2 linked regions of the Arabidopsis thaliana genome follow. The protein of the gene in region 1 interacts with the protein of each later gene in a pairwise test. Each region holds a gene or a part of one and is shown in the gene's direction. Other genes may lie near its edges.

Region 1 (4,274 bases):
AATCAACGATCATTTCGTATTTGACTTTTACTTGGTTTATGGTTTAATGTTTATTATGGTTTTTTATTTTTCAACTGAGCTTATTTGGTTTTGATGTAACAGGAACAAGTCATGGGGAATCTATCATGTTTGGATGTTGCTTTGGATTTGAACTTCTTTCTTTACTTTGAATGCTTTGGATTCGATTCTAAACGATGTTTTTATGTCTTGCTTTGGATTTGAACTTCTTTCTTCTATTTGAATGGTTTTATTTGGATGTTTTGAATCTTGCTTTTTGGGTTGAACGTATGAAACTTTTATTATGTCATGCTTTATTGATTTTACTTTAAGTTTTTTTTATTACAAATTTACAGGTTTTATGGTATATGTGGTTAGTATCAAGTATGTTCGGGTATATTATAGTAGTTATAAACTAGTATCGAATAATATTCGGTTACTTTTTGGATTTTTCAATGGAAGTACCAATACCTACCCAAACCCAAAATTTACCGGATCGAACCCGAACCGAAGTTTTCAAATACCCGAACGGGGTCTAAAATTATAGTTCCGAAAAATCCGAACCCGAAAAAATCGATCCGAACCCGAACCGAATACCCAAACGCCCAGGACTAGGAGAAAAATACTCCTATCAACCAAATGAGTGTATATCAGACGATGTGTACGGACTAGCTTGATAATTAGTACAAGCGTCAAACAACAATTTTTTGAAATAAATTTAGAATTTTGTGCAATAAAAGCAAATTTCTTTGACCCAGCCGGTTATGCTCTAGTAAAATTAGTTAATGATCGCTAGAAGGACAAAGTCAATCTTGATTTTGATAATATCCTAATCTAACCAGAGTAATTACAAATTAACTGTATATGGCATAACCGATATTTTGGTAGTAATTGATTTGGCTCCTTATTACCATAAAGAAATAGAATTTTATTATAAAGAGATCAATTTTCTGATAGGTTAACTATACTAAGCTGATTAATATCAGTGTTGCGTGATTATATGGTATATTACGATTTGTATATCTTATTAAATGTGGATTATTTCTTAAAGCTTTTACTATGACACTAGGAATATATAACATTAATTTTCGTTTGATGTCGAAAATAATGGTTAGGTGAGATATAACAATCATAAACTAAATTAAAATAATATTTAACTTATCACGAATATTGTTCACATTGCTAACATACTAGCATGTATCCACATAGTATTGTTCACATTATAAGTAGAAAATTCTTATTAAAAAATAAAAAAATCACTACATTTTTTAATGCAATTTTATTGTTTACCTCCTAAAAAACAGATCAATTTCATAAAATAAAAAATAACTCGTAATAAAATTCCTCAAAAATAACCGATTTTGTATTATTTACTTTTTTGTCAATCGATATAAATTAGAACTAAAAAAAGTTAATCCCGAAAGATATTATTTATATATATGACATGATACGATCGATTTTATATCTATTTTTATCATTATTACCCCCGTTATTTCACATTTCTTATAACCTTTTGTTATTGTATAATTTTTCTTTTTATTATCAATCGGAACAAAGAAATACAGAAGTTAAAAGCAAAAGTAGTAAATATTATTAAACAATTATTGCGTGTAAAAATAGTGTATATGTGATCGTGTACAAAAGTACATGCATAACATGATCAATATAGAATGCAATACAACTATACAAATGTCAACAATCTACAAACACGTTTTAACTTTGAAAAGCAATCTAAAATTCATGAATCTAAATATACTCTCTGGCAGCTTTCTTATTACCATATCTTAAAGATTGAACCAAATAAATAAATTTACATCATTAACCAAATTAAACCATCCACATTTAATTTAATTACAACAAGTAAGTAAAAGATCGTCTCTTTCTTCTTTCCCGGAAAATCCTCTCATTTTTGACTTGCTCAATTTTGCTTCCTTAAGACCCAAAAATCCAAACCTAACCCTAATCGACATTTTCTCCGATTTCTAAATCCTCCTCCGGTGAAAATGTCTCACCTTGATGATCTTCCTTCTACTCCCGGAAAGTACAAAACCGATAAAGTTCCACCGTACGGGATTCTCCACCACCACCGTTACCTCCGTCTCTCAAAACTCACCCTTTGGGCTTCTCTCTTCCTCGCTCTCTTCCTCTTCTACCTCGTTTTATCTCCTCCTCCGTCACCATCTCGCCGGAATCTCAACGATTCTTCCTCCATTTCCGCCGCGAAATACGGCGGCTCTCACTGGGAGAAACAAGTCCGTAAATCCGCTCGTCCTAGGTCTCACGGCGGTTTAACGGTATTAGTCACCGGAGCTTCCGGATTCGTCGGTACTCACGTCTCGATCGCGTTACGAAGACGCGGCGATGGTGTTCTAGGTCTCGACAATTTCAATCGATACTACGATCCAAAGCTTAAACGAGCAAGACAAGGCCTTTTAGAAAGATCAGGTGTTTTCGTAGTCGAAGGCGATATAAACGACGCCGTTTTACTCAGAAAGCTCTTTGATGTTGTCCTCTTCACACATGTTATGCATCTCGCTGCTCAAGCTGGTGTGCGTTACGCAATGCAAAACCCTGGCTCATATGTTAACAGTAACATTGCTGGGTTTGTGAATCTATTAGAAGTATCGAAATCAGCGAATCCGCAACCTGCTATAGTCTGGGCTTCCTCTAGCTCTGTTTATGGTCTGAATTCGAAAGTACCCTTTTCGGAGAAAGACCGTACCGATCAACCAGCGAGTTTGTACGCAGCTACGAAGAAAGCAGGTGAAGGAATTGCGCATACTTACAATCACATCTACGGATTATCGTTAACGGGTTTGCGGTTTTTCACTGTCTATGGACCTTGGGGTAGACCAGATATGGCGTATTTCTTCTTTACTAAAGATATTCTTAAAGGGAAGACGATTACTGTGTTTGAATCTCCTGATAAAGGTAGTGTTGCTAGGGACTTCACTTACATTGATGATATTGTAAAAGGTTGTTTAGGTGCGTTAGATACTGCTGAGAAGAGTACTGGTAGTGGTGGTAAGAAGAAAGGTCCTGCTATGTTTAGGATTTATAATTTGGGGAATACTTCTCCTGTTCCTGTTACTAAGCTTGTGACTATATTAGAGAAGCTTTTGAAGATGAAAGCTAAGAAAAAGATCATGCCTCTACCGAGGAATGGGGATGTTGAGTTTACTCATGCCAATATCACGTTAGCGCAAGCAGAGCTCGGTTATAAACCTGCGGTTGATCTTGAGACGGGTTTGAAAAAGTTTGTGAAATGGTATATGGGTTTTTACACTGGCTCGAAGAAGAAGAGTTCTTGGTGAGCTCTGTCTCTCTGCTTAAGTCATGGTCTCTGTTTCCCCTTGTTGAGCTTGGAGTTCGCTCTAGGTTAAGCTTTTGAAACCGAGCACTTGCATTGCCAGGAAAAATCACTTACGTATCTGCATTGTTTCTGTGTTGCTAGATTTTGCTTCATTTATTTGTTAGTAGATTTTGAGCAATGTACAGCTTCATCACTTAGATGTTTCAATTGTCGAAACTCAATTGTCTTTTCCATCATGTCGGAGGAATAAAGTAGCTTGGATTTTGATGCATATACTCTGTAGTAATTCAATCTATTGTCACTTGTTTCTTGTGAATTCAAACATATATTTATTCTTATTCTGACCAATTTTTACATAGCTCTAATCACTTGACTAACGATGATGGTTTGGAAGAACAAATCAAATCACTGCATAATCTTATAACAAGAAACAATGAATGTTCTCTAGCCTGAAGTTTATGTAATATGCCAATAGATTCACAAGATTGTTCTCTAGCCTATACCATGTTATCTTCCTCTGCGCAATCAACCACGACATATGCGATGATGTTATCGACAAGTTCTTGAAGATCCAACACCATCTTCAGTATCGATCTTCCACCAGTCAACACCATCACCAATCTCCACAGGTTCCACCTCTGTTCCATTCTCAATCTCATCATCATAATCAAACTCGTAATCCCAAACACCGCAAGAACCACCTCTCTCTTTCTCCAAAGCAGGATCATAAGTCCACTCCAACTTCTTCAACACATCTCTATCCTTCCACTTCCCCACAACTTTCTCAACTTCCTTCTTCGCCTTCCCCATCGTCACTTCCTTCCACGAATACGCAACATCCGCTACTCGCTTCAGCGCACCTTCGTTCGAATCTCCAATCACAACCGTCCTCAAACACCTCTCCTTAGCTTCCCACAAAATCCCCGCAAAATCAGAATCATCAGACACTAAAACAACACACTCC
Region 2 (3,907 bases), on another chromosome or scaffold:
CCATACCCATAAAAGTCAACCAGTATGTATACATATATTTATATCAGAGAGTTCATATTGAATGATGCAACATAAAAGAAAATTTGTAAAGTGACTAAAAATAGGCTAACTCGGTCCTCCTCCTCAAACAGATAACGAAGGACAATGTTACACGCAATATATTGTACAAACTACAAATTATTAGTTTAATTGGTCTCTCTCAATCAGCCACGAAGCAATAGCGTGGAAGCAATAAATAAAGTAAAAACTCTCTTGACTTTGCAAATGACTAAAGACTTCTTTTGCTAGAGAAAGTGATATAAACCTTGAAATCGACATTTGCTTGCCGAAATCAGAAAGCAAATACCCAGATTACAACAAAACCCTAAACATCCGTTCCTATAAACCTTTTCAACATAAATGGAAAGTTTTGTTCAATAAGACAAGCAATCTAGTAAAAAAAGGAAACAATCTCAATTGCACCAAGACTCACATGCAACATAATTGATTCATAAGACACTGAAAATCGCCACAATCGCGACAATAACAAGAGCATGAAATTTATTTTCTTCTTCTCAATCAACTAAAAACGATCACAACTATAATCGATAAATCTTCAAGTAAACAGTCCGATTACGTAATCAAACAAACCTAAAACCCCAAATAAATTCATACCACCGATGAAACCAAAATTAGCCACAAACCATACACAGATCACAAAATCTAAGCGAGTCTACTAATCACATCATACAATCATCCAGATTCAAAATCGAAGAACATGAAATTCGGTAACAAAACTCTTACCTAACTGCTCAGAAAACGATTTATGAACAAATCCACGAGTATTAAGGACAATAAATTAAGCAGAGAACTAAAAGTATAAGACAATCAACGAGAAGAGAATCGATAAGTTTCATAAGAAAGAGAGCTCACCAAAGCTAAAGCACCAGATTCTCAGAGAAATGAGGATTTTTGTTGAAGAAAACGAGAAGAGAGATGGTTACATTTATTTGCGAAGAAAGAGATGACTGTGAGGAGGGATAATGCTAAATTAACCGCGCTGTCTCCTAAATGGACAATTACAGGTGGAGGCCCACTGTATAATCCCGTCAAAAAAAAAAAGGAGATTTCGTGTGGGCTAATGTTTCGTTATTAGCCGTTGGATCTCTATATTGAACGATTGGATTTAATCGTTGACGGATGGATAGGAAGGCGTAACGTATCAAGTTTTATATTTAGTGAGAAATCACGTGTTTACGAATTTAGAGTGGATTACGTGCTCCTTGGAATACTAACCGTTGGATTGAGATGACTGAAATTGAACGGTTTCGATTAAAGAGTTCACCTTACATGGATAATGATCAATGTGTTGTTTATATTGGGCCTATGAGAAGCCCAATGTGTTGTTTACATTGAGATTATCTTCCAAAGATTACTTCACAAATCACAACCCTTTAAACGAAATTCTAAATAAAAGAAAATTCAAAACTATTATATACTGAAATTACTATTTTGTATTTTATAAGGTTCTCATACATTTTATTTTTTTTGTTAAATGGTTTTTAGATAACATGTTAAAGAACAAATTTTGTTGTAAAATATCAGAAAAAAGAATAGTACGTTTGTTGACATATTGTATGTAAATATTTCAAATAATCTGAAACAAAACCACGAGTCCTCTTGGAATACTTTATACTAAAAAGAAAGGTGAAATTTTAAAAACAAACCGAAACCTAAAATAAGCAATATTAACAAGCACATGACAAGATTGATTCTTAAACTCTTTAACAAGACATTCCAAGCTTACTCAACACTTCACACCACCAAATTATAATCTCATAACTAAAAACTACCCAATAATCAAATCTAAACTCCTAATTTTTGAACAATGTCTCCACTTCACTCTTACATTATCTTCTTCTCCCTTCTCATGACCATCCTTCTTCAATCATCAACAACATCATCCCAATCAAATCTCTGCAGATCTTCTTGCGGCAACATTCCGATAAATTACCCTTTTTCCATCGACGACGGTTGTGGTAGCCCTTATTACAGACACATGCTCATTTGCTCCGACAACGATACCAAGCTCGAACTTAGAACACCATCTGGTAAATACCCTGTTAAATCTATAAGCTACTCTGATCCTCACCTTCTTGTCTCCGATCCATTCATGTGGAACTGTCAAGATCGAGACAATTTTCGACCCACTAGATCTTTTAGCATCGATTCAAGTACACACTTCACTGTCTCTCCTCAAAACGACTACTTGTTCTTCAACTGCAACACCGATAAAGTTATCGTCGAACCAAAACCGCTCTTCTGCGAAAGGTTTCCAGATAGATGTGACTCGTCCTGCGATAGTTCTAGCTATCTATGCAGACATTTGCCTGAATGTGGCTCTGCTTTGGGATCTAGGGTTTCTTGTTGTTCGTATTACCCTAAAGCGACTCAATCTCTTAGGCTCATGCTGCAGGACTGTGCGACGTATACAAGTGTGTATTGGAGGAGTACAGGTGTGGAGAATGCACCGTATGATCAGTTTCCAGAGTACGGGATAAGGGTTGATTACGAATTTCCAGTGACAATGAAGTGCCTTCTTTGCCAAGAAACGACTAAAGGTGGTGGAGTTTGTGGGTTTAATACGAGGACACGAGATTTTTTGTGCCTTTGTAAACAAGGCAATGTCACTACTTATTGCAAAGGTCAAAATGTCTATGTTCATATCTTTTCGTCCTAACTACAATTTCTATTGAGAACTATTTAACTACTATTAGATAGTTTTTTTTTTGGTAGGGACTATTAGATAGTACTAATACGTATTTTCAATCATTTTGATACATTCTGCAGATCCAAGCCTCGTAAACCATAAACGCGTAGGAGCTATCGCAGGTAAATAAGCAAGTTTACTATAACTACAACATGAAGTTTGTGGTCATCTTATTACTATATGACTTTATATATACTTGTAAGTTGTGACCTGATTTGAACCGGAAAATTTGTCGCTAACAGGAACAGTGACGGCAGTTTCAGCGGCAGGAGCGATTGGCGTTGCCGGTGGAGTATATTGGTACTTGAGGAAAGTGAGAGCCAATGCTCCGGTCACTTGTGGAGTTCAAAGCAATGAGAACAGAATTTTCTAAAAGCTCCAATGAAATCATAATTTTAAAAAGATTAAAAGCATGGTCACACTCACACTCTTCTTTTCTTCTTTTTTCGCTCTCTTTTGCCTTTTTTGTTCTTTACCTTTTATCTTTGATTTTGTGTATACTACAAGTTCTAGATAAAGATTTTCGTATAATTTTTTGTGTTTTCTTATACAATAGTAAATTTTTCGTTTTGGTCGGATAGTAATCTTTTGGTAGGCACCAAGCAAGAAAAATTTTGCAAGCATAATGGTAGCTGTACCGTCATCCATATTAAGAATCACATAATTGTTCGTATAAGCCAAGACAAAAACTTCTCCAAAATACTATACTCTTCACATTGGTCAACTTCAAATCTTTATACAAAACAAATCTTGAAAGTAAAACAAAAAGTATATAAATCCTCCAAGATAACTTGAATTCCGTCCCGGGTACTGAATAATTCACAAAACACACCTCAGGAACAGGAATTCCGCCTCGTCGTTTCCAAGGAAAGAAACAAAATTATCAAAACGTTACATTTTATGAAACATTATATATAATCACATATGTATATATACGTGAATAATAATTAATTAGTTAGCAAATTCTGCCGGAATAGCAATGGAGAGGACCGGCGGATGAAGTAAGCAAAGGGACGAGAGAGCCGTGAGACACCGGAAACCGCTCTGCTCTTCCGTACAACGGCGTGACGGTTCCGTAGCCAGAAGGCACGAAGTAAGCTCCGTTCTTAAAAACGTCTTTGGACGTTCTCCATTTCCATCTCTTCCAATCATATCCAC

The links.
Region 2: the proteins of GAE5 (region 1) and AT1G11915 interact in a protein complementation assay, tested with the Arabidopsis thaliana proteins (one large-scale study listed by BioGRID).

What each region holds. Positions count from the first base shown.
Region 1 is NC_003075.7:7,288,575-7,292,848, reverse strand, and holds GAE5 (UDP-D-glucuronate 4-epimerase 5), read left to right. Parts: upstream 1-1,728; 5' UTR 1,729-2,000; coding exon 2,001-3,311; 3' UTR 3,312-3,657; downstream 3,658-4,274. Other genes in the region: AT4G12240 (zinc finger (C2H2 type) family protein), read right to left, coding at 3,860-4,274. UniProt on the Arabidopsis thaliana protein: Involved in the synthesis of the negatively charged monosaccharide that forms the backbone of pectic cell wall components.
Region 2 is NC_003070.9:4,019,963-4,023,869, forward strand, and holds AT1G11915 (wall-associated receptor kinase galacturonan-binding protein), read left to right. Parts: upstream 1-1,787; 5' UTR 1,788-1,867; coding exon 1,868-2,684; intron 2,685-2,829; coding exon 2,830-2,871; intron 2,872-2,991; coding exon 2,992-3,122; 3' UTR 3,123-3,330; downstream 3,331-3,907. Other genes in the region: APA1 (aspartic proteinase A1), read right to left, coding at 7-34; AT1G11920 (Pectin lyase-like superfamily protein), read right to left, coding at 3,705-3,907.